Caenorhabditis elegans: one gene and its partners. The protein of the gene in region 1 interacts with the protein of each later gene in a pairwise test. Each region holds a gene or a part of one and is shown in the gene's direction. Other genes may lie near its edges. The genes, in order: goa-1, F53A10.2, madf-11 and lin-36.

Region 1 (6,657 bases):
ATTTCAAGTTAAGGTTTTATTTCTGCGTAATCCACTATTTTTATCTTTTCTTGATTTTCCCTTTCATACTTTCACTCATTGTTTATTATTCGTGTCCCCTCGTCTCCGTTCTTCGACTGGAAAATCTGTAAGAGGGTCCAGCTGTGGTCTCCGGTGTACGGCACTCAACATGTCTCCTTGTGTATCGCTGCCAGTGCTGTCTATGCATTTATTATGAAAATAAAACAATTAGGCACATGGAAAAAGGCTTTATGTTCCTATAGCTTTTGGTTCACGGAGACCTAGTCTACGGCGCTGTTCGTCGATTGAAACTTAAATTTTAAATAGTAGTTTTCGGCATCATAAAGTCGCTATTAAGGCTGTCAGACAATTTAAGTTTTTATGCAATATTTTAAGATTTTAACTCAAACGCCGCCTGTGATCAGATAACTCCGACTACTAGAATATCTGCATGGTTCTGATCCTCATCATGATTTAAAATTCGAATCGACACGCAACGCAAGTAGCCGCCGACCCTCGTCTTCACTGTCGCTGCCCCCTGAACGATGGGGCTCTCCTGTTTCGGCTACTGGCTGCCCCTGGCTACTACTACCCCTTTTCTGCTATGCCCATGACCTTCTTCTTCTCCTCGCCCTCGCTTTTCTCTCTATTTTCCTTCTCCAACCCCACCATCCTGCTCGCCGTCGTCGTCGCAGTTGCTCCCCCATTTTTTTGCGCCACGCAAAAAAAAAAGAAAAAGAAGGACGACGACGACAACGAAGAAAGAGAAGAAGCAGAAGCAGTGAAAACGGAAAAATCGAAGACGTTGTCGTCTATTTTTTTGCTTCTGTTCTTTACAAATTATCTATTTTCTAACCTTTTTGTGGAGAACGTTGACCCGGCCGGAAGCATGTAGTAAAATTTCTTTTTGGTTGATTTTGCAAAACATGTTTATCCTCGATTAGCTGATTTTCATTTCGATTTCAGATTAAACCAATTGATTCTAAAATAGAAAACTGAATGAACAATCTCTGATCATTCTTGAAATATAACTAATTTAGTTCATCTGCAAGTTTAACAGTTAGTACATTTTTCTGTCGTAGATCAAGAAAAATTTCACCTTCGAATTTAGTACTCAAACATTGCAGGGATTCGAACATGCAAACGTTTTAACAATTTCCCCACTGACGCTGCTCCAAAGAAATCTGAGAGAACGTCTGATTTGAAAAAATGTTTGCGCAAAAATTAGAAAGGCCCTGTTTAGAGTATTGTAGGTTGCATATTTCTACCACTAAAATAAATTAATGAAAAAGTAAGAAAATTCAATAAAAATTAGTCGCCTTGACGACGTGCACCCTCTATTTTCCTCATTCGTCATTTTTGTCATCTCCTCTCATCTCATCTATATTCTGCCCTCGATCCCTCATCCATCCATTTCTTCATTCTCCATCTCACTGTGTCCCTTTTTTTCGCTCGATTGCTTTTTCTTTTCCTTATTTTTTAACCCGCTATAACTTACTTCGATTCTAATTTTTTCAATTTATTTTCAGCGCTGAGCTGCACCACATACAGTGAGTGAGTAGAGGATATCAAGTGGAGACCGCTACCGGGGCATAGGGTCCACCGTTCATCAACTCTAGCGCCATGGGTTGTACCATGTCACAGGAAGAGCGTGCCGCTCTTGAAAGATCACGAATGATTGAGAAAAATCTTAAAGAAGACGGCATGCAAGCGGCAAAAGATATCAAACTGCTGCTACTTGGTGCAGGAGAATCAGGAAAATCGACTATTGTAAAACAGATGAAGTGAGATTTTTTTAAATTTCTAAATAACAAATTAAAACATATATAAACGAAAATGGTAGAAATAAATGGTGAAAAACTCAGAATTTATCATCCGAAATTGTCCCATAGAACGTCCGAATATTTCGTTTGATCGATTTGAATTATTAAAAATTAAATTTAATTAAAAAGTAAATAAATCACTAGAGACTGCTATTAATTTTTTTTTCGTATTCAAAATTTGAAAAGTAAGTTCAACTCTCTAATAGTTTAAATTTGAAACACGCCTTTACAAATTTTCACATTTTAATGTTTTTTTTTCAGAATTATTCACGAATCGGGATTCACAGCAGAAGACTACAAACAGTACAAGCCGGTTGTCTACAGTAACACGGTTCAATCATTGGTCGCTATTTTGCGAGCCATGAGCAACTTAGGCGTTTCATTTGGTTCGGCTGACAGAGAGGTGAGTATTATGACAATTTTTCTGCAAAAAAATCGAAATTATTTAAAAATGAGGCACGAAATTTTCAAGTGATCCCTTAATGGAAAAAATTAATTTCGGTCCATTAGCTGCTAATGATTAGCACGACAAAAACGTTACTTCAAAATAAAACTTATTTTTCTGAAATTTACTTGCGATTGTGATCTATAGATAGAACATAAACATTATTCAATTAAAAATGTTTCCCGTGTTCTGAAGAGTAATTCGAAATATTTGGAAAATAACGAATAAAAAGATACGAAAAACGAAGAGCATGAGAATAAATGACATAATCTGTTGTATTCATTGGCTCGGTATCTTTTTCTCTCTCTCTCTCTTACATTCTGCAACTCTTATTGCCTCTCGTTGCACTCAATGCATCCCGCTACCACACCACCGTCCCATTCCAATTCCCTTGTGAGTTTCGATGCGCGACGCGCCACCGACAAACTCGTAGACTCGACCTAGTATTCCAAAAATATATGTTCGAGGCAGGAATTTTGAATTGGGATTTGGAAGGGATTCTAGAATGTTGGAAAATCTTTGGGAACACATTTTCGATTGATGTGGCAAATCATCAGAAAAAAATGTTCCCAACGTTTTGGAGAAGATTTTACATCATTCAGACGTCAAATGTTTTGTTATTGCGTCACAAATGCAATTCCCGGTTTTTATACGATGAATTTGTGTTCAATGCAAGAAGGTGTGCGCCTTTAAAGAGTACTGTAATGTTTAATTTTCGTTGCAGCCAAATTTTTAATCGATTTTTCATAGTTATTCAATAAAAACGTATTCATTTATTTTAAAAATTAATAAATAACAATCAAATATTTACGAATTAACTTTAACAAATCGTAAGAATAAATATAAACATATTTTAGCATTCAACAAAAATTTGTCGTGTCGAAAACGTAAAAAAGTTTTTGATGTGAAGATCGAACATTTATCATTCAATTTTATATATATCCTTAATCTTAACAAGACGTGACTATGCATGTCACCGAATATAAAGTAATTTGAGATAATTGAAATAAAATGACCATTTTGAGACCTTTGGACAAACCATTGGAAGAGAGCCAAGGATCCAATTTCAATTTTGTGAGAAAATTGGGAAAATGATGTACATGACATGCTGTGAATTATTCAATTTTCATCAGCGAATAAAGTTATCGAGAACTAAAATCAAAGTTTTTTGTTTCAGGTAGATGCAAAATTAGTGATGGATGTGGTGGCACGAATGGAGGACACAGAGCCATTCTCAGAAGAATTGCTCAGTTCAATGAAACGGTTGTGGGGAGACGCAGGTGTACAGGATTGTTTCTCAAGGAGTAACGAGTATCAATTGAATGATTCAGCCAAATAGTAAGTTTAATTCAAAATTTTGAAAAATTATTTCAAGTAACTATTATCTCCATAACAACCAAAGTGGTTTTTTTCATAAATTGAGAAGAGTTTCCTAAATTTCGAATCAATATGTTACATGTCAAGCTCATTTTCAATATTACCAAATTTAAAATTTCAAGAAATTTCGCAGTTTATAGAATTTATTAATAACCATTTTTTCAGTTTCCTTGACGACCTGGAAAGGTTAGGAGAGGCAATATATCAACCAACTGAGCAAGATATTCTCCGAACTCGTGTCAAAACAACTGGTATTGTTGAAGTTCACTTCACATTCAAAAATCTCAATTTCAAGTGAGTTTTCTTGATAAAAAAATAATATTTAATAATGAATATTTACAGATTGTTCGATGTGGGAGGTCAAAGATCAGAAAGGAAGAAGTGGATTCATTGTTTCGAAGATGTTACTGCTATTATTTTCTGTGTTGCCATGTCAGAGTATGATCAAGTGTTGCACGAAGATGAGACAACAGTGAGAAATTGATATTTTAATATTTTAGAAGCTTTTTTGTTGAAAAAGACAGACAAAATTTAAAATTAGAAAATATCGTTTAGAGACTTTATGTTTTTTAAACGATTTTCCAATCATGACTTGGTCGTTCGAGTCGACTTTTACAATAATAAAAATAATGTTCTTCTTCTAATTTTTCTAACGAAAATGCAACTTCTGACCGACAATATATTTGCCAAAATAAAAGAAACATGATAATTTAAAAATTACTCGTTTTTTTAAATTATATTCTATTATTCATTCTATTATTCATTATTCATTATTATTCATTATTGTTCCTTATTTCATATTTTCAGAACCGAATGCACGAATCGCTGAAGCTGTTCGATTCGATCTGTAATAACAAATGGTTCACAGATACATCGATTATTCTGTTCCTGAACAAGAAGGATCTGTTTGAAGAGAAAATCAAGAAAAGCCCGTTAACGATCTGCTTCCCAGAATATTCAGGTAAAATTTAATTGAATTTCCAATAAATGTTTTAATTTCTTAATCCCTGTAGGACGACAAGACTACCACGAGGCATCTGCGTATATTCAAGCACAATTTGAGGCTAAAAACAAATCAGCGAATAAGGTAAGAAAAAAAAGTCTAAAAATCAATGAAATCAGAGAAGCCTATGGGGTTCCTGTTCCACGAAAAGTATAAATTGTTTTTCTAGAATAATATTTTTTATAATTTTTAATATCTAGTTAATTTTGGAAATTTTTTGAAGTGTGAAACATTTATAAAATTTAATTTTTTTTAAGTAAACACGAATATTCAATTGTTTTGTTAATCTGTCACAGAAAATGATAACCAGAAAAATCTCTGAATCGTATTCAATTAAGTAATTACAACCAAAATTTGAGATTTTTACTATCTCGACATTTTCTCCGATATTGCGGTTACTGTAGTTTCATATTTGAATAGGTAGTTAAAGTTGAGTGTTGAGGTAATAATTTTAATTCATTATTTCATTTAATTTGTTTTCTTTTGAAATAATATTCTTATTTGCAGGAAATCTATTGCCACATGACATGTGCCACAGACACAACTAACATTCAATTTGTGTTTGACGCTGTCACCGATGTGATTATTGCCAATAATCTTCGTGGATGCGGCTTGTATTAAGCTGTCGTCTTCGCCGCCCTCTTCTACCATTCTGTGTGTATCTTTGCTTACTTTTCCCAAATTTTTAAAGATTCGTTATTTTTCTCATCCCCCGAGTATGCATCTATAATTTGAGAGCTTTACATGTACATTATGGTTGCAACTGTTTTTATTTTTTGGAAAAAGTTGCAATTTCAGATGTATATGGGCTTTTTTTTAACCTCTGATTCATTCATAATAGTCTCACCGCCCTTCTTTTTCTCAACTAGGATCCCTAATTTTTCTGTCACAAAAATAACACATAAAACTCACAATTATTTATTTTTTCCTTTTTTCTTATTTATTATATATTGTCATTATTCACGCCACATCCCCCGCCCTTCTCACTCCCGTGTAGCCTTATCGCTATTTGAAAACAAGAAAACTTTAAAAATCTAAATTCAGTTGGAATTCGTCCCGTTCCGCCACACACCCCCTAAAGGTCTCTTCACCCCGAATTATAAAGCTTTGCCCCTTTTTTCTTTCTTTTCTCCCATTTTTCAACACACCTAGTCACTGTTAACAGTTAAATAATGGCAGCTTTTGTCTATGTTTAAAGATTTTATTTTTAATTTTTGGTATTTTTCTATTTCTACTCTTCCCCTCTCATCCATTTTCCCTCCTTTTCCTAAAACCACACTTCCAAACTCATTTTTCTCGCTGTTTTCCTCTCCCTATTTTTTCTTTTACTTTTTCATTTTTCCATCTTTTTTCTTTAAAATCGTCTCGCTTTTTGTCGGTGAGCACGATGGTGTGCAGTAGACGATATTTTCCGCATTGGTTTATTGTCGACTGCACCCACTCATTGATATCTTATTTGATATAAACGACATCCTCAACTAGTTTTCGTACAAATTCAGTTTGGTGGATACAAAAGTACAGTGATTTAGTTTGCATGGGAAATTGCATATGGGACTACCGTACATATGTCTAGATAAAAAACCAATATTTTTAAAACTCGATAAAATTTAAATTTCCCTGAACTCCTTTTTGAATAACCACCAAGAAGTTTAAACCTCGCGCGCGAATTTAAAATTTAATTGTTATTTTGAATTATTAGCATGGTTTAAAACAATTTCCCCATCATTACCAAGATTTAAAAAAATCAAAACCTATTGTTATAACATCAAAAGTGGGAAACCCCAAAAATAGTCTTCAGATAATGATTTTCTCAAGATAAATGACCCGGAAGTGAGTGTTACTAAAGCGAAAAACCTTCCAAATGTCAAGTTTCATTAAATTTTACAACAATCATCTAAAAATGTGTCCTTTTTGTCACACAATTGTGTTCATTTTCCATCAGCTTTTCCCTCCTCCTCCCACTATGTGATAAACTTTCACTTTTTCTGTTCATTTGCCAAAAAAAAGAG
Region 2 (7,752 bases), on another chromosome or scaffold:
GGTTCCCGAATAAGAATAAAATCACTTTAAAAATGCGCAAAAATGTTTGAATGAGTTGTTTTACAACTTTATTCAACTTACAAAAATATTTCAAAAATAGAAGGAATCGAACCAAAGCTTAAATCTTATCAGACGCGCGCACTCCCAACTCGGCCACCGAGGACATTTTTCAACTCAATGTGGTGGGTGTCACATTTTCGGTGGTCACGCAAGCTGAGATTTGCGTGGACTGCATGGCTAGACAGTGGATTTCAATGGTGTTTTTAACTGAAATTTCAAAACGTCATAACTTTGCTGAAACTTGACCGGGGCAGCTAAATTTTTTGGAGAGATCATAACTAACACTCTTCTGTAGGAATTTTAGCATGAGAACCCCAAATCTACGGACCCCCTCAAAGACTTCCCTTGTGAGTTTGGAGTTTTTATTGATTTTAGGGGCTTTTGGAGCTGTATTTTCTAAATTTAAAATGTGAAAATCAGATTTAGAACCAAATTTTACCTATTCGCCCAAGTTTTTAATTAGTTTACGGTCGTATAAATGAACTGGAATTTTTAGCAATTTTCAATGTGAAATTCAAATTCAGCATGAGTTTTAGGGGTTCTACTTTAACTTTCTCTAACTTTCGCTGAGTAGCGACTCGATAAACACTGTGATGCGGAGTTTTCTTAATTGCCATGAAACTTTTTTTTCACATGTGGTGTCAAAGTGTCCCATTTCGGTGTGATCTACCAAAAATGCGGGAATTTAATGTGGAGCAGACTTCTCAACAGATTTTGTATGGTTGAGAGCGTGCTGACGTCACATTTTCCTCCACAGGAAATTCCCGCATTTTTTGTAGATCACATCTTAATATTTTTAAAAAAGTATCTCGCCACTTTATAAAGCTACAACAAAATTTTCAACCTATCCTCATAAAAATTGGCAGAACTCCGTATAAAAATGGAGCTAAAATTCAAGCCTAAGTCTAAGTCTTAAGCCTAAGCCTAAGCAGAAGCCGTAGCATGAGCCTAAGTCTAAGCCTAAGCTCAAGCCTAAGTCTAAGCCTAAGCCCAATCTCAACCCTACGCCTAAGCCGAAGCCTAAGGCAAAGCCCAAACCTGAGCCTAATCCTAAGCCGAATCCGAAGCCTGAGCATCATCCTAAGCCTAAGCCTAAGTATAAGCCTAAGCATAAGACTTATCTTGAGCCTAAACTGTGTTTAAGCTTAAATTAAAGCCTATGCCTGAGTCAAACTTTTTGAGTCGCTACTCAGCCAATATTTCAGCGACTATGCCCAATCTCAAATCTAAACCTAAACCTAAGCCTAATCCTATGCCTATGTCTAAGCCTAGACCTAAACTTGAGCCTGAATCTTAGCCTAGGCCTAAGCCTACGCCTCAGCCTTAGCCAACACCTACTCCTGGACTTAAGTTGCTACTCAGCCAATATTCCCGCCACTTCTCCGAACTTTTTCTCTTTGCCTAAAGTGCATTCATGTGTTCGTTTCATCATTTTTCATTCACTCTTCCACACCTCTCAAAACATACAAATATATATACAAACATATACATACATACACATTTAGGGCGCATCCATTTCCTATTATTTGTTCAAAACCATCTCCCCCATCATTCTCCCCATTTTTTGACCATTTCTATCCATTTTTCCCCTGGAAAAAATGCTTCCGTCTCCCGATTATTTCTCGATATTTCAAGCTCAATCTCCTATCAGTTGTAGCCCAAGACGTCTAGCTTCAACTAGACGAATGCTCCACTTTATAGACTCATCCGAGTCCGAGGATGATCTAGACGAGTTGCCACGTCATCTACCGCCCGTGATTCGGAGGCTGGCTCCGTTGCGGCATGCCACGTCACAATACAATCTGAGATCCACTGGCAGCACCTCTTCAGACTCCTCCACGGCGTCGGAAAATGATAAATGCTCCGATTTTTCAAGCCTAAAATCCCGCCGGGCTTCTTGTATTGAGCTTAACAAGGAGGATGAGTTCAAGGTGATGGCTGCTGATAAGCTTCTGATGGCTATGGAGAACATGAAGCATGCCACGTCATCACAGGCGATACGATGGAGGACGACTTCTACGGAGTCTCTGCCAGGGATTATCAAGTCGAATAGACGGCACTCGAAGGGTCCGCTGGAGTTGATTCAGGGCCTGATGGCCAAGAAGGCGGCCGTGGGGAGGCCCGCGAAATTCAAAAATTTGGGAGTTGTTGGACCGCCCACGCTTATTTCGTCGACGGTCTCGTTGCATGAGATTTCTGGATTTGTAAGGAGGGATCGGTTTTGGGGGGCTGAAACTGAGTCGCTATTCAGCCAATTTGAAGTTTAAGCTATTTTAGCTTCTGCTTAGGCTTAGGCTTAGGCTTAGGTTTAGGCTTATGCATAGGCTTATGCGCTTAGGCTTAGGTTTAGGCTTAGGATTATGTTTAGGCTTAGGCTTTGGCCTAGGCCTAGGCTTAGACTTAAATTTGTGCTGCATTTTTGTACTGATTTTTGTCAATTTTTATAGAGATAGGTTGAGCAATATAATTTTCTGCCGAAAAACTCTGAAATTGAGAAAACTAAACTGAGTCGCTACTCAGTCAATTCACCAAAAACTGAAATTTTTCTGTCTCTCACCATAATCAGCGAATTTTGTCACACTTATCCTAAAATTTTCAGCCTGAAAACTCTGAAATTGAGCAAACTCCGTATCACACTGAGCCGCTACTCAGTTAATTCTCCAAAAATTGAGCTAGAATCCAAATTCATGTATGGTGTCAGTTTTTTTGTGCTGAATTCAGAAAATTTATTTAAAAAATTCATTTCAATTTAAAAAATGATTTTTGCTCCTAGTATACATATAGTACAAAAAGTTCAGGATCCAATATTGTTACAACTTAAAATTCTTATACTTTGCACCGATTTTTGTAATCTACGCAAAGTTTTACAGCAGCTCCAAAGTTCTCAGCAATTTTCCATTAAACCTGACAAAACTCCGTGATTAACTGGGTCGCTACTCAGCCAATTCGCCAAAATTTGAGCTAGAAGGCTGAAAATTTGGGAATACGGGTAACCAAGCATACTGATTTTGAAAAAAATACTGAAAATTGAGAAAAATGACTTCAAATCCCACAAAACCACTTAGAAAACCTCGAAAATCCCCTTAACCTTCATTTTTCCAGACTCACAACCCAACTTCCGGTCACCAAAATGAGCAAACTCATCAAAAAACCAACGGATCCGCCGTACACAATCAATTGACCAGGAATATTATGAATGAGGTACATATGTGGTCACTTTTGCTCTCTAGTATTTGCACAAATTCTCACACTACGAAAAAGTAAATAGTACCTAGTAGTACTCATGGAAATGTTTGCTTTTCGTGAGAAAAAAACGAGAAAAAAAACGAGTTTTCAAGGAATTTTTTGGTATTTTTTGTGTTAGAAATTGGCAAAAACTTGTAGTATTCCATTCAAAAAATTCTCTAAAATTCTCAAAAAATTTCCAAAACTTCCATTTTTCCAGGTCCTAACAAAAGTGGGCCCATATCCACAAATAGTGCTACCATCAAATGGATTTTGGATGGATGGAGTCAATCAACAGCACCATATGGATGATCAAGTCAATAATATGAATGTGAACAGTTGTGCCAGATTCAAGCTGGAAACCGACGAGACTAGTCATTGTTATCGCCGACATTTCTTTGGAAGAGTAGGTTTTTTGAATTCTACGCATGGAGAGCTTTCAGAAAAGTACCCACAAGCCTATATTCCAAAAAAAAAGTTTTGGCTTGTAGGCGGCCTGAAACGGCCTGAATCGGCCTTTTTTTGATTCGCACGGTTAATGTTACAAAAAACGACAGTAAAGCAGCCCACTAGCCTTGTTTTTAGCAATATCGTTTTCCAGGTTTGTGCACGGCTTAAATCGGCCTGTAAGGGCTTGAAATAACTATTTCTAGAAACATAGGCTTGTGGGTACTTGAATAAAAGCCTATAACATAGTAATTTTGAATTTTTGACTTATATTTGTTGCATTTGAGTTTTGAGCCTAGAAGTGCTAGGTTTTCAAAAATCGACCAAATTTTATTTCCAATTTTGTGACAATTTTGCACAGGGCCTAGTAGTAACGTATTATTTTTGTCAATATTCGCATTGTTGAAACCGAGAGCTTTCAGAAACATACCCACAAGCCTATATTCTAAAGAAATAGATTTTCAGTCTAACTGAGGCCTGAAGCGACCTAAAACGGCCTGAAACGGCCTTGTTTAATTAGATTTGTTGAAAATGGATTCAAAAATCAAATATGCTGGTATCTATCATCTGATCACATATAAAAAGACAATACAAAATTTCAGGCCTAGTAACAGCCTAGATCGGCCTGAAACGGCCTAAAAATGCCTAAAATGAGTAGTTTTCAAAACATAGTCTTGTGGGTACATGTTGAAAACCATTTTTTACGACAAATTCAAATTTTCAATCAAAATTGCCATAACTTCGACGTAAAATTTTTCAGGAGCACCACGACTTCTTCGCCAACGACCCAATCGTAGGCCCACTGGTCCTTAGCGTCCGCACAGAAGTCATCTCCTCCTGTGACCATTTCCGTATCATTCTCCGTACCCGTAAAGGTACCATCCATGAAATTGTGTCAGCTACCGCACTAGCCGACCGCCCATCGGCTTCCCGGATGGCTAAGCTGCTCTGCGAGGAGATCACCACTGAGCAGTTCTCTCCGGTGGCATTCCCCGGTGGTTCTGAGCTTATTGTACAGTATGATGAGCATGTGCTCACGAATACCTATAAATTTGGAGTTATCTATCAAAAAGGCGGACAGACGACTGAGGAGCAACTTTTCGGAAATCCACACGGGAGCCCGGCTTTTGACGAGTTTTTGTCGATGATTGGCGATTCTGTGCAGTTGAATGGCTTTCAGGTAGGCAAATTGAGCGGCAAGTTTGATCTCTAGAAATTTAATCTCCGCCCACAAAATGGCATTGGTTTCTAAAACTCCAAAAATTCAAAAAAAAAATCGACAAAGAAGTTTCGAAAAAAAATTCTTCCTCAAAATTAAAATTTTTTGAAGAATATGTTTTGTGGTTACAGACTCCGCCCACAAATGGGCGGGGCTTCACCGACTCCGCCCACACAATGACAATTATTTATCCCAAAAAATTGGGTCACAAAACCACAGTTTCTCATCAAGTTGTCTAACTTTTCCATTCGTGAAAAGTAAGAAAAGGGGCGGAGCTTAGGAGACCATGCCCACAAAAGTTTTTTTTTTTGTATTTTCAGCAAAACGTTCAATTTTCGACTGAAAACGGGAAGGAAAATTACTTTTTATAAGCTCAGCACCATACAAAAATAGGCGTGGTTTGATAAACCCCGCCCACAAAATGGCCTAGATTTTGTTATTTTTTACGAATAATTTGAAAACATAATTTCAAGCTAAAATTTTCAAAAATTTTTCATATTTTTTTAATCAAAATTTTGCTAATAACGAGTAAACTATTTAATTTGAAATTTACAAAAAGGGAGTCGAATAAGGCTCCGCCCACAAAATGGCTCTTTTTTCCAGAACATTTTTTATAAATTTTTTGTCAAAAAAAAAAGCATATTTTGCTGTCACTTAGGCCCCACCCACAAAATGGACATGACGAAAAAATCTATAATTTTTCTAAATTTCAGAAATACCGCGGAGGCCTTGACACGGCCCACAACCAAACGGGCCATCAGTCCGTATTCAGTGAATTCAAAAATCGTGAGATCATGTTCCACGTGTCAACAATGCTACCGTATACTATTGGAGACGCCCAGCAGCTTCAAAGAAAACGGCATATTGGAAATGATATTGTGGCAATCATCTTTCAGGAGGCTAATACTCCATTTGCTCCTGATATGATTGCATCAAACTTTTTGCACGCCTATGTTGTGGTGCGTTTTCAGAGATTGATGAAATTTTGGGGAAAAACGTGAAATTTCGGCTAGAAGTTGATTTTCCAAGGTTTTTAGTAACAAATTCGAAATTGACAGCTTATTAGCTTCAAAATAAGTACCTACAAGCCTAGTTTTTGGAGAAATGGTTATTCTTGGCCGTTTGGGCTGTTTCAGGCCGTTTCAGGCCGTTTCAGGCCGTTTCAAGTCGCCCTCATTTTTGAAAACCGTTGTTTTTTAAAATAAAATTGATTTCAAGTTCACCAATTTCAAATTCAAGAGCATCTCAACTCAGGCCATTTCAAGCCAATTTAGGCCCTGAAATAGGCCGAAAACGTATTATTTTCAAACATAGGCTTGTGGGTACATTTTTAAAAGCTCTCAACGTGGCAAACGCAAATTTCAATGTTATAGGTCCAACCAATCGACGCCCTGACCGACCGTGTCAGGTACCGAGTCTCCGTGGCCGCCCGTGATGACGTCCCATTTTTCGGCCCAACCCTGCCAACCCCATCGATTTTCAAGCGAGGCCAAGATTTCAGAAATTTCCTGCTCACCAAGCTAATCAATGCCGAGAACGCTGCTTACAAGAGCTCAAAGTTCGCCAAACTTGCCGAGCGTACCAGAAGCTCGTTGCTCGACGGGCTCCACGCAACTCTACGCGAGCGTGCCGAGTTCTATGCCACACCACTACTAGAATCCACGTCATCAGGTGGCGAAAGTGCTGCCACCACGTCATCGTCATCCAACTCATATGGCGGCGGGATTTTGTCATCTGTGAAGAAGGCGTTTATCGGGAGAAGCCGGTCGGTTTCTCAGGAGGCTAGTCACGTACCACACCGCGCCGCCACGATTAATGTGACGTCACGGCCTAAAAAATCGATATCCTCGACGAGTTCGTCGACCAGTGCCCGGACACACTCACCGATTAGGGATGAGGAGGTTGTCAAGCCATATAGGTAAGGGGTTTGCGGGTTTTTTTTTTGGCGGGAAATTCAAATTTTCTAAAAAAAAGTGTTGGCGGGAGATTACAATTTACAGAATGTTTTGGCGGGAAATTCAAATTTTCAAAGAAAATTTCCCAAAAATTTTTCTGGCCAAATTATTTTTTTTTCACATTCAAATTTCAGAAAAGAATGGGAAATTTCATCTCAAGAGTCTCCGGATAACGAGCATGATTCGGATACTGGAATGGTAAGATTTTCAATTTTTTTTTTGAATTTTCAGCACAAATTTCCATTTCCAGGAATCCATGTCCTCCACAGAAATGTCAGGTCAAACTCGGGCTTCATCGTGCACATTTTGTGTAGATGACTTCCACGTGGCAGCAAATCATCAGTCCTCAGATGCAAAGCGTCTCGAGACCCTTTGTGTAGATGTTACACGACTTCAGAATGAGAAGCACGACTTGTTACGTCAGAATGTTAGCTGCAAAACTGATATTAAAAAGTTAAAGGATCGGTTAGTAATGTTTCAATTGAACAATTTGAATTCGGAAGACCGAGAGCTTTCGAAAAAGTACCCACAAGCCTATATTTCGAACAATTGAGATTTTCAGGCTTGCGCTCGGCCTGAAACGGCCTAAAATAGCCTGAAACGGTTTCGAATCGATTTATTATTTTGCAGCAAGAGTAAATATTCCGCACACTAACACAGTTTGGAAACTTAAATCGAAAGCCTATCCGCGGCCTGAAATGGCCTACGAGGGCCTGTAACGGCCTAAAATATCATGTCCTAAAAACATAGGCTTGTGGGTACTATTTCGAAAGCTGGTTTTTCACTGAATCTCATAATTTCAATACTTTCAGCCAAAGTGTGCTCTCCGAGGAGCTGGAACGCGCC
Region 3 (5,428 bases), on another chromosome or scaffold:
AGATCGCAGAAATTCCTCCTCATCAGAATCATAACTGTTTCGGAAGATATCTGAAGAGAAAATGAGCTTTAAAAAATCAAATTTTCATGGAAAATACCTCTTTTGGTTCGATTCGACTCAAATCTGGATATCAGAGATCGCTGTGGTGGAAGATCTGGTGGGCGTGTAGGGTCGGCCATAATTTTAATTCTGAAGACGGGTGATTGTTTTGTTTAATAAAAAACTTTTTAAAAACTAACGCTTCCTCCTCTTCGTCGAATCCAACAACGTCCACATCCTCATCAGAGTCTGTAAGCACTATTGGCTTAGATACAACAGGATTCGGATTTTTTGGAGAATTTTGTGCCTTTTCGAGTGTTACTTGTTGGTTATTAACAACTAACGGGGACTTCGACTTGTCTGTATTCTGAGAACGAATGACGTAGACTTCTGAAAACAATATTTTTATTTAACAGAGGACCATTTGCAAACAAACTTCTTCGTGGCAAATTTGGATCCGTAGCTTTTTTAACTGGCTTTGGTGGAGGTGGGAGACAGGAATCTCCGAATGAAGCCCATCCAATATGAGCTTTAGGTTCATAATTACTAGAAGATGCCGGTGGTGAATCAGTTTCGTCGTCGTCGTCGACTATCAGAAGATCATCGACGCTCAACGTTTTCTGGGATGTGGAAGGTTCATCATCTTTAGCAGTTTGCGGTTTTGGATCAACTTTTGGAAACTTGACCGCTGCTCGTTCTTCTTCATTCATAAAAGCAAATGACATTGGGGATATTGGTGGAAAAGCTGCGGGTGCAGGCTCTGTCGTCATGGAATTGTCTAGATTGGCAACAATGGGTTCAGAAGACATCCTGGAAACAAAAAATATGGAGATAAAATTTTTAAATTTAAATTTAAACTGTTTTTATTTACCAGAAAACTAGAAAATCCCAATGAGAAAGAAGGGAAATTAATAGAAAAATAAAGTTTTAAAAATACCTAAATTTTCTACAGTACCCGAGGTCTCGCGAAGATTTTGGTCCGCAGTACGCAAACACTCTTATGCTTGTTTACCGTAACCACTGAAATATTTTTTCGTTGTTTTTCTTTATTTAAAAAAAGTTATCTATTTTTCGAAATTTATTGAAAATTTCACATTTCAAAACCGTCAATAATTCTTTTAAAATTCATTTTTCGCAATATGGATTTTCTTCAAATGTTAAACCAGAGTTTTCTTGTAATTCCTTGAACAAATCACATTTTTAAATCACATAACCATTTTCGTTTCTGGAAATCTTCACTTTGAAGTTGAATTCTTGTTAGATTATATTTGTTTAACTCTGAAAAATAGTTAAAATGTGTGTTTTTATATGTTTTGTTTCAGATTTCCCCTGCTTTGTTTTCCTTTCCTAGACTAAGTTTTTAAATTTCGATCAATCCTTTTTCTTCATTTTACCCTCTCAAAACCATTTATTTACTCACTTGAGAGACGCAGAGAAACCATCGATGGCCTAGATGTCTCGTCTCGCCTCCTTCTCGGCCACGCGCGCCTATCTATCGATGTTTTTCTGCCTGTTCGCTCCGTTTTCTTTTTCGAATCTTGACCGCTTCGCATGCCTGTTCCGTTGCGGTTTCTGAAGCGTTTCGGTTGCGTCGCGGTTCCCGGCTCCGCCCTACTACCCGTTCGAGTCTCCCACGGTCTGTAGCACGTCTATCACCTATGTGAATGAGTGTGTACGATCATCTTCTTGCCAATCGGGTTATTGGGTTCAATGGATCGTAGATTGATATGAAACTCGAATTCGGGAAGGAATCGCCACGCAACGCAGCTAGAAATGCTTGAGAAACTTGCGAGAATTTGAGAAGAAAATAAATTTCAGAATTATTATTAAAAATTTCCAATGAGCGACCGACGGCGGCACGGAACAGAGGATTATCAAATCGCCGGTCTCAAGCATTCAATGACAAGTAAATCGATATTCATAGATTCAGAATTTCCAATAATTTTTCCAGGTGTCGCCTCAAGCTCCCACGGTGGTGCTGGAGACCTCCAACAACAATTTTCCAGGGAAGATCCACCCGTAAAAACTACGCAATACACACTTGTAAGCTGGAAAACGTTTAAAATTCAAAATTTTCAAATTTTCAGCTTCAACTAATCAATATGGTTCGAGAAAATCCGATTCTCTACGATGAGGAGATGCAAGCCGCCACGCCGGATGCTCAGTTGAAGGTTCAGAAACGAGAAGCATGGGATCGGATACGTGCTGATATAGTTTGGCAGGACATCACTCTTGTTCAGGAAGTCTGGTCGGATCTTCTCGATCAATATGCTAGAAAATCGATTGATATGTCCGATGGACTAATTGAGGCAATGCGATGGACAGATTCATTGATTTTTAAGAAGAAATGTAAGAGTTTCTTGCAAAGAAATACACCAAAATCATTTATATTTTCAGCAGACTCTCGACCTCCTTCACAGCTCACCGCAATGTCCTCCGGACTGGATAAGGATTTCTATAATGACGTTCCGCTGGCAGAAGATGTATTAGAACCCGGACAAAGTCTCGGAAATTCTGAATCCATGAAGTTCGATTATGTGGTTATTCAGCCTCATGTTAGGCCACATCAACAAATTCCCACATCTTCATATTCCCGTCGAAAATCACCACAATCAAGAGAAACAGAGGCAATTGTTCGAACTTATCCATTATCGCCGAAGCGGATAGTGGTAAGTGCAAAAACGATGAAGTAATTACTACTCAGACCCTAATTTTTCCGATTTTTGCTGACTATGAGATAACCGGTCTCGTCACAACAATTTTTGTTAAATACGACAAGATGCGCGCCTTTAAGGAATACTGTAATTCCAAACTTTTGTTGCTACGGAATTTTCATCGATTTTCATAGCTTTTCAACAAAAATTTGAAATTACAGTACTCTTTAAAGACGCACACTTTATTGTATTTAACAAAAATTAGTCATGTCGAGACCTGGTACCGTATGTTTGGCGCAAAAATCGCAAATTTCACGTCTGGGTAATAGCAAAGGCAAGCATTCAAAAACCCCTTACCGGCCTCGCTTGCGGTGATGCACGGGTGGCCTACTGGCTAACACTCTCGTCTGCAAAGCAACAGTCCACAAGTTCGACCCCGCTTCATGGTGCATTACACTTTGTAACTTGCATTGTGTGCGCGACTAATGAAGCAATACCAATATCTGCAGTATCTGCTCATTCGCCGTGTTGTAGTTGATGAGCTCGTAGTCCGATAACAATTTTTTGATTTTTTTTCATTCCAGCAACAGCATCGTATGCCACAGAAGAATAATCCAGACCAACAACATCAAATGAATGAAGTCAAAAAGGAAGTTAATCCGTTTGGACGACAAGGTGTATTGGTGGAGGTGGAACCATCACCCTCCTATGCTCAATCGAATACGAAAATTTACAAAATGGTCTCCGCGCATAGAAGTGCAACGCCGCAACCTGCAGTTACAGTGGCTTCATCTAGAAGATTGGTACATATGGTAGGAAAAAATAATTTATTTAAATAAGAATTAAATTTTCAGCCTCACCGAACAAACTCCCTGGTTTATGATTCGATGCCAGAACTTATAGATTCGTGAGTTTTTTTTTTACTTCTTAAACTTCACTTAATAAAACATTTCAGTTCAAATATGCCATCGGAACCACCAAAAAAGAAAATACACTTGGAAGTGGGTCATCGAAATAGTGAAATGGTCGGTGTATCAACCTCATCAAATGCCCCGTGTCTACCCAAAGAAATTCTAACCGATGGAGTCCCAATTGCCGACGATGAGATTATTTTAGAAGCTGATGGAGAGTGTAAAATAGGTTCTGGAATGCTTCTGGAATCTCAACAATCAAGTTCACAAAATCATGAAATGGATATGCCATCAACTTCAATGGATCATTATCATCATCAAGATATTGGTAATTTTTCGCTGGAAAAATATGAATATTGAATGAATTTTCAGATGATGGGGGTGTTGGAGATGATATTGAGCAGCAAGTGGTGGTTGGAGGACCTTCTGATGAAATGGCGATACAATATGATGAAGATCTCGCATTTCAACAACATATCAATAGTGTCTTGAACAGGTTATCTGATGATGAGGTAATTTTTGGTTTTTAACAAAATTTACGCGGAAGAGTTTTAAAAATTCGATTTTTCATTAATAAATTGGAGTTTTATACAAAAATTCGAATTTGGATATAAAAAATTTTTTATAGGAAGAAATGTCATTTGCTTACAAAATTTAAATTTTGAGAAAAAACATTGAAAATTGTGGACAAAAATCGAATTTCTCAGAAAAAAGTGAAATTTTCCAAAAAGAAAAAAATACAAGCAAACTTGAAATAATCCTGGATTCAAGTCTTGAGTTACACAGGAAAAATTGTTTTAAAAAATGAGCTAAAACAAAAAAAATCAAATTATGTTCAATATTTGTAATAAATCAGCCTAAAAATCATTGAAGTTCCCATTGAAAAATCACCAGGCAAACTTCAACATCAATATTTAACTTTCGAAATATTAAAAAAATCTATTTTCAGAAATCCGTGATGAAATTCAACATGCAAAAAATTATACTCGACGCAAGATTTGGCTTAGGCACAGCCCGAAATATGCTTAAACACGATGAGATGCTGGAGGTAGAGTCACACGTGGAAATTGATCCGAATCACGAAGTTCCTGAAGAGATTTAGACATTAATTTGACGTACAATGCTTCTGTAATATTTAATTTGTTTTTTTCTTTTTTTCTGAAAAAAATCCATCCTTCTCCCGAAATCAATCATATCAGTGAACATAACGTATTCTTTTTTCTCTTTTCTCCTTTTCTCTCAAAAATATTTATTTTATTTTTTTCGAATATTGTCATTTGTCATAATTTTCAGATGAAATCAATAACATTTTTAATTTTAACAGGAATTGAAACCTTTTTAAATATGGATTTGTCGTCCTTGTGAATATTTATTTTCTTCTAATTTGAATTTTTCAGAATTAATATATAGATTTTTTTTGAATCTGCCTCAAAATAATGGCTTTTAAACCTAAAACCCAACAAAAAATCATTTTTAAATTAAAAACGGGCTGGCAGTGAATCTTTTTTCAATAAAAACTAAATTTAACAGAATGAAAGAAACCTAATTATCAGGAAAATTTTGGAATTTATGAGAGCAAGTTTGAAAAAGGATGAAACAAATTTGCCAATAAGTTTTGCATGTTATAAATATTATTAATTTTGCAGTGGGTCAATGCCACAATCGGAGAATTCAAAAGATGCCGAAAAAGAGAAGGTGATGCGTTCACGACGTGGTACTGTCGATACAGAGATCAGCGGAGCACTCACAGTTCTTCAGAGCTCATTGGACGTTGACGATGCTCCGTATCGAGCCCGTCTCTATCAGCTCTTTGGGCACATTGAA
Region 4 (6,656 bases), on another chromosome or scaffold:
GTGCAGCTAAAATTAAAGCTGGAATATCCTGAGCAGGAGCTGCATCTGGAACTGTTGAAAGCACCATTGGAGTTATCTGTGGGGCTAATGGAGCAGCTGGAGGAGTTGGTGGTGGAGCACTGATTGTGACTTCAGGTGGTCCATTTGATACAGAAATAGTTTCAACTGATTTTAGAATTGGTTTATCAAATGCATCACTCAATACAGGTGCAGCTTCAATGATAGTTGCTGGAGTTGTTGGAGATGTTGGAACTGATGATTGAGCTGTATCTTCACGAATCCAAACTATATCATCTTCATCGTCAGCCATCTAAAAATAGAAATTGTACTGAGTTTTGATGCTTCATAAAGTAGAAAAAGTATGCGAGATTGGTTTTATTCAAAAAAAACTCTTGTAGTAGTAGTGATATGGATGGCATGTTGGTTGTTTTGTTGGCAATAGAGAAATTGGCAGAACGACGGAAGAGGGTTTAGAGGCCATTTTTACACTGTTTTGAGCCCGCCTGAGTGAGCATTAAACACTGAATAGTGTGTAAGATGAAGATACGCAGAGTTGCACACGGACTTGATCAGTGAAATCGGGGGAGGAGAAGGAAGGGATCCGAGAGATTTTAGACTTGAGAAGTGAAGATAGGTTTTTGGAAAATTGACACCTGGAAATTTAAGATTCATGCATGAACATTTACGCGAGCTACAATTTATTGTAACTTGATTAAACCATGAAACAATTTTTTTACAAATGCTTCCCTAGAGAGGCCGGATATTAAAAGTACAGATGGCAGAAAACTTTCATTTGTGTGAGTACGGTAGTCTGATTGTTTGTTATTGAGTTTAAGAATTTTTCACTATTTGTTTTTTAATGTGTTTCTTGTCTTTGGGGGTTTAAGTCGACTCCCAATAAGAAGTTATACCGTAATCGCTTTTATGAAGAGATGTCTAATGACTTGTCATCTTTGAAATCTTTTGCTCGTGCTAAGTATTGTATTCAGACGAATAATACATTATAATTTTCGAAAAATGTAATCACTTCACAAGCCAGGGCAAGAATTGCGCTTCTGTATGAGCTGTCACCAGATTATGATTTTTAATTGTGTACGGAAGAAAAATTGAGAGCATCTTAAGAGGAAGATGCATCTTCTGAAATAATTTTTCTAAATAAAAATCAGAATTATTTTTCAGCATTCCACCCAGATTACGTGTCTGTTATAATCGTTTCTGGAAGACATTCTATTAGATACCGTACCCCGAAAACTAGAAATCCTATTTCTAGTTTTCGGGGTACGGTATCTAATAGAATATGAGTACCTGAGTAAACATCACTTACTATACGCATATGTTTGCTCAAGCTTCTACTATACCTGAACCTAGAGAAAACTGTCTTCCGTTCGATTTAATTTGGCAACGAAATGTTCCAAGCTTATGATGTTCCCGTTGTAATTAATTAATTCCCCTGCTTTAAATCACTTATTGTTAACGAATATGTACTTCTCAAACTCCTGGTGTTATCTCCGTGGTATTTTGGATAAATTGGTGTCAATCATTTATACAAATGACCTGTCTCCATATTGATATCATCAATTCAACGTCCCTCCAGTTCCAAGTCGCTTGTTCGGCGAGAGAGCGTAGCAAACGGAGAGACGTCATAGAAAAAGTACGCAACCGCGCGTGGCGGTGTTTGCGTACATCAGATGAGTGGGAGCCAGAATTGTACAAAAATTGGCCGGACAATTATCGATTTTTACACTTTCGACTCATTTTTCACTTATTATCAATGTTTTTCGTTATTATTTGTATCTCTTGAGCGTTTTAAACAATTAAATTCACTGTATTTTCTGTTTTTGTGCTCAAAATGTGTAGAATTTGCAAAAGAAAGGCTTTTCCAAAAATATTTGATTGCAGGAAATGTCGGAAGAATTGCTGAGTACTAGACCCAGTAAAAGGGATTATAATGATATTGAAGAACCAGAAGACTCACACGTGACGGTGCACTCAGTTGAACAGGTATGGTGATAATTGAGAAACATTCTCGCCGCTTATGAATATCAATGCATTTTTAGGATTCACAGCATTCTGGTGAAGAATCCTCAACTGTAGACGCATTGCAGGAAACTGAGGGTGATGTTGACGTAATAGGAGAAGATGAGGACGAACACGATGTACGTTTACATTTTCATTCTCGTATTAATGCATGTGCCCATTGGCCGGAATAGAATACATCATTTTATTTTCAGATTCCCGTAATGCCAACTGTCACATCAAGTGGTGAAGTTCTTGATGAAAGCCAAGTCACTCCAACTAAACAAGCTTCGTCGTCACAACCAAGAGAAGAAATTATCCACGGCAAAGGCGAAAGTGTCTACTCCAGTTTTCCGTGCCAAGTTATTCCGGAGACTTTAAGCCGAATGACACGAACTCCGCCAGATGGAGAGCATTTAGAAGTGTACCGGATGTCAAATGGGAGACTGAGAATATATGTTGTTGATCATTTCAAGAAGTTTTCTCCATACTCCAATTTGACTCATAAGCCATGTACAGTTTGTAATCGAGTAATGAAATCGGGAGAGATGCATCTAAACTTCCCAGCAGACTTGGATAGGCGCAGAATTTGGGCAAATTTGCTTGGATTCAAATACAAAGATATTCTTCGCAGTAAAATGGGTCCTGTATCGTTTTCAATTGCTGCCGGTCCAATTTGTACTGAGCACTTCGCCGAGGAGTGCTTCAGGAATCACAATTTCAACAAATCTGCCATCGAAGCTTTTGGAGTTCCTGTTGCTATTTCACCAGACGTTAAGACGACACCGAGTAAAAAAAGGTAAGAAGAAAAGCTGGTTCTGCTCGAAACGAAAAAGCTTGTGAATGAATATGTTAGCTCGATTTTTGGCTAAAACATCCTCTTTCACGATTTTATAAAAGTTCCAGAGTGCCATGGGTCTGTACCGTATGTGAGTTCCACTCGTGCAGTGTTGTCGAGCTTCAGACACATCTTCTCAATCACACGGAGGAAATGCTCAAGAAAAAAGATAATGTTTTGGATGTAAGTTCAAGCTTTTTAGTTAATACTCTTATTTTATCACATAATTCTTATAACAAAAATTAATATTTTTCACAGGTCCCAGAAGCTGGCTTCATGTGCCCATTCTGTAGAAAATGCACATATGGTTACAAGACAATATCTGGATATCGTCGTCACTTGAATGCTGGCCCCATTCATCATTGTCATCTTCGTAGAATATATGAATTCGCTAAAATGAACTGCCGCGCTACTGAGTTGGATCCAGCGGAAAGCTGGGATAACTGGACTCGTCGCAACGTTTATGTGGCATATCACGGCTGTGAACCACCAGCAAATGAAATCGTACTCACACCTTCACCAACGAAAAAAGCCTACGTGCAAAATCCAGAAGAGCGTACGAAAATGGTTCACGATGAAGAGAAGAGAAAGAAGGCAGTGAGGACATTATCGTTTGTTGGAAAAGAAGGTGGTACAAGTGTGAATGATCTGAACGTAATGCAGCGACAAGTGTTTCTGCAATTGAGAAGAGAAGCAGAGATTAATACAAAAGCAGAAGAATCGGCTCAAGGAACGAAGGAGCAAGAGAGCAGTCAGAAAAAACATGCAGAAGAAGAGTCAGACGATGTTTCTGAACTGTAAGTTTTGTCAAAAAATGTTCGAGTTAGAGAACATCCTGCGTAACGAAATTTAAAAAATCTTACTAAATGGAAATCAAAGAAGCAATTAAATTTTTTAGAACTTCCCATCAGTCTCCACAAGCTCCAATGGGATCTGGTGAACGACGTAAAGCAACACGTCTCGCAACTTCCGCTACAAATTCACCAATCAAGAAGGTGGCAAAACACGAAGTTCCTGCTACAGCTCCATCAACTCCAGCTAAGAAACGGAAAATTTCACACGAAGAAGAACACGATCCAACTCCTGAAAGTGTAGAGAGAGAACCAACAGTTTCACCAAATGATCCACGTGAACGTCTTCGTTTGAAGGAACGAGATGAACAATTTGCCAAAATGGTTCAGAAAAGATCTCAGCAAGTTAAGCGATTGATCAATGCCAAACAATTCAAGAAACAAGAAGCAGCAACGAAGAAGCCGAGAAAGGCCTTGGCTTATAATTTGGCCAAAGGGATCGCTGCTACTTCTTCGGTGAGTTTTATTTACTGAATTTATTAAATAATAGATTAGAACTTAATTTGTAACTTTTGAAATTCCTCTTTTACTTTGTAGCATGTTGAAATTCGAATTACTAGGATAATGTTTTTTATTCAGACGGAGCCAGAAGACAAAGTGACATCTTCGGAGCAGACACCAGAACCGACAACAAGTCAAAAATTTATCGCCAGAAATACACGATCGAAAACTAAGGAGAGTGCTGTTCAAAAAGTTGAAAAACCAGCAACTCCTGTCGCAAAACCGGCACCAGTAGAAAAAGAGCCGGAAGAACGCCCTCTAAAATCAATGCTCGCGAGATCTTTTGTTGCTGGAGTTCGTCCTTCGATGGCTAAATATCAGATTCCATTAGAATCGTTCACAGCTACTGCATCACTTGGTGGAGGACGTTCATTATCTTCTGGAGTCATATCAAGACCACCAACTTCATCCTCTCCTGGCGGGATCTTTTCTCAAAGAGTTATGGGAGCTGTTGCACAAGAAAAAGGGCCTGCTAAGAGACCGGTAAGTTTAATATATTAGAATTATTTATTAGGAGACTTTGATATTTTTTCTAATTTATTGCTTCAGAGTGTGCTCTCCCGAAGACCACTGATCCTTTCACCACGAAAAAAAACATCAACTCCACGACCAACACTCTCCCATCACGAGTCATCGCCAAACTTCTCAGCATCTTCTCCGGTGGTTGTTTCTGATGAGTATCTGATTCCAGCAACGGATATGGAAGTTGAAATGGTCGAAGAAGTCATTGATTCTATGGGAAACTCATCGTCTGAAGATGTTGCCACTTCTTCAACATCTTCCGAGAGGCAACCGATGCTTACGCTGGCAGAGGCTCTTGAGATGGATGGTTCAAGTGGAACAGTTAAAGATCAAGATATGGAAGAAATCTCAAAAGAAATGATGAAAGATGCTCATTACTACAGAGCAATGGAAGACGCTATCAAATGTCGCACCGTGACGAAAATGCGCGCTGACATGAGACTTTCCCGTCATTGCATCCGGCAAATTGAAGCTGCGAGAGCCAGGTGAGCCCATGGGAGGTCTACTTTGATAAATCGTTTAATTTTTTGCAGAGCTCGTCTGTTTGGCGAAAGGACTGAAGATTATCAAATTTTCTACTCTAACGATGGAGCACAAGTGGTATGTTTTTATTAGTTTCAATTCTGAATTTTAGTAACAATTTTCGTTTTTTAAAAGATTTTATTTATGTTGTTCTCAATTTGAAACCATTTGCTTTGAAAAAATTCCGATTGAAACATCAAAAATCACTGATCACAACACAATTTATTTTAAAAACATGTTTTCTCCGCTATTTGGCGTTATCAATCAGTTTGTTTCATTCTTATGATTTTCAGCTCACCAAAAAAGATCCAAAATGGCGTGAACTTCAACAACAACAACAACAACAACAACAGCAGCAAGAACAATTTCCAGGACAAGGATCATCGGATTCTCAACAATAATTATTTTTAATTATCAAAGAAAGTGCCTCAAAATTCAAGATTCAAAAGTCAATTGTCCTTTCGAGGATCGCCCCACATTTCTTTCATGTGAACTATCTCTGTTTTATATCCACAGAAGTTATCCCATTTTACTTTCATTCGAAATTCTTGAAATCTGATAAAAACTCCGACTAGGATAGATTTTCGTCTAGATTTTTAGGATTTTCACATTTACTTTTTTCCCATTTTTTACCCCCCCTCCCCCCTATAATTTACTTTCCAAAATTAATAGTTTGTTTTACTTTCCATAAGCCCCCGCCCCCTCCCCAAAAACCACACTTTTTCTATCATAAATTAATCTGAATTATTCACAAAAAATGAGCCAAAGTCTATTTAAACGTTTCCCTAGTTTTCAATTACATTCAAGTTTGAAAGATATGTGCGTTTGTGTGCCAAATATGACTAAAAGTCAATAAATAAATGATTTTGCTTGGTAGGTTTTTGAAAAGAGTTTTCAGATTATTTTTTCTATAGGCTACCTGATTATCCATAACATTATATTTTGAAAAAACCATGAAAAATTTAAAAAAATCCTAAAATTTAGAATGGCATCACCAGAAGCATCGTCTTCTGGAAATACAGAAGATCTTCGTATCGAAGATTTATTCCATCAAAAACGAAATGAAGATACGATTGCTAAAATATTTTCGATTATTTATGCTCCAGTTGGTGAGATTTTTTTCAAATTTTTTGACACATTCCAAAAAGTAAAAGTTTTAAAAAATCAAAATTTCAGGTTTAATTATTCTTTTAATTCGTGTTTTCCTCGGTTTCCACACATTTATTGTTGCATGTCTACTCAGAAAATCTGCTGCTTTGAGAATGCACACTCTTCGAATTATGTGCTCAATTCTCGGAATTGTCGTTGAAAAATCTGGTCACAGGTTTGTGATTTTTTTTTTGAAAAATATTTGATATCTCCAAAAAAATAGAAACAAGTTACTGAAAAATTGGAAGCTTGCCGTA

Evidence for each region.
Region 2: the proteins of goa-1 (region 1) and F53A10.2 interact in a two-hybrid assay, tested with the Caenorhabditis elegans proteins (2 studies listed by BioGRID).
Region 3: the proteins of goa-1 (region 1) and madf-11 interact in a two-hybrid assay, tested with the Caenorhabditis elegans proteins (one study listed by BioGRID).
Region 4: the proteins of goa-1 (region 1) and lin-36 interact in binary tests that used the Caenorhabditis elegans proteins (3 or more experiments, as listed by UniProt).

Annotation. Positions count from the first base shown.
Region 1 is NC_003279.8:7,520,587-7,527,243, forward strand, and holds goa-1 (Guanine nucleotide-binding protein G(o) subunit alpha), read left to right. Parts: upstream 1-1,529; 5' UTR 1,530-1,623; coding exon 1,624-1,784; intron 1,785-2,084; coding exon 2,085-2,226; intron 2,227-3,445; coding exon 3,446-3,606; intron 3,607-3,810; coding exon 3,811-3,939; intron 3,940-3,987; coding exon 3,988-4,117; intron 4,118-4,452; coding exon 4,453-4,606; intron 4,607-4,658; coding exon 4,659-4,732; intron 4,733-5,155; coding exon 5,156-5,269; 3' UTR 5,270-6,126; downstream 6,127-6,657. UniProt on the Caenorhabditis elegans protein: Guanine nucleotide-binding proteins (G proteins) are involved as modulators or transducers in various transmembrane signaling systems. In the 1-cell embryo, probably together with gpa-16, controls nuclear rotation and spindle elongation during mitosis.
Region 2 is NC_003280.10:1,222,606-1,230,357, forward strand, and holds the start of F53A10.2 (Rap-GAP domain-containing protein), read left to right. Parts: upstream 1-1,745; coding exon 1,746-2,264; intron 2,265-3,162; coding exon 3,163-3,261; intron 3,262-3,505; coding exon 3,506-3,691; intron 3,692-4,492; coding exon 4,493-4,912; intron 4,913-5,664; coding exon 5,665-5,910; intron 5,911-6,324; coding exon 6,325-6,869; intron 6,870-7,040; coding exon 7,041-7,104; intron 7,105-7,156; coding exon 7,157-7,371; intron 7,372-7,718; coding exon 7,719-7,752.
Region 3 is NC_003281.10:5,599,881-5,605,308, reverse strand, and holds madf-11 (MADF domain-containing protein), read left to right. Parts: upstream 1-1,857; 5' UTR 1,858-1,878; coding exon 1,879-1,945; intron 1,946-1,990; coding exon 1,991-2,082; intron 2,083-2,126; coding exon 2,127-2,388; intron 2,389-2,436; coding exon 2,437-2,708; intron 2,709-2,834; exon of another isoform or gene 2,835-3,110; intron 3,111-3,129; exon of another isoform or gene 3,130-3,255; intron 3,256-3,277; coding exon 3,278-3,505; intron 3,506-3,547; coding exon 3,548-3,600; intron 3,601-3,648; coding exon 3,649-3,932; intron 3,933-3,976; coding exon 3,977-4,116; intron 4,117-4,553; coding exon 4,554-4,706; 3' UTR 4,707-4,922; downstream 4,923-5,428. Other genes in the region: xnd-1 (X chromosome NonDisjunction factor), read right to left, coding at 1-50, 98-189, 240-429, 476-848; wdr-37 (WD repeat-containing protein 37), read left to right, coding at 5,258-5,428.
Region 4 is NC_003281.10:8,016,117-8,022,772, reverse strand, and holds lin-36 (Protein lin-36), read left to right. Parts: upstream 1-1,899; 5' UTR 1,900-1,902; coding exon 1,903-2,001; intron 2,002-2,057; coding exon 2,058-2,156; intron 2,157-2,231; coding exon 2,232-2,815; intron 2,816-2,916; coding exon 2,917-3,037; intron 3,038-3,112; coding exon 3,113-3,651; intron 3,652-3,752; coding exon 3,753-4,161; intron 4,162-4,284; coding exon 4,285-4,689; intron 4,690-4,755; coding exon 4,756-5,213; intron 5,214-5,261; coding exon 5,262-5,328; intron 5,329-5,543; coding exon 5,544-5,651; 3' UTR 5,652-6,125; downstream 6,126-6,656. Other genes in the region: F44B9.2 (uncharacterized protein), read right to left, coding at 1-310; F44B9.5 (Lipid droplet-regulating VLDL assembly factor AUP1 homolog), read left to right, coding at 6,236-6,359, 6,427-6,574. UniProt on the Caenorhabditis elegans protein: Required to negatively regulate vulval development. Antagonizes Ras-mediated vulval induction. Acts cell autonomously.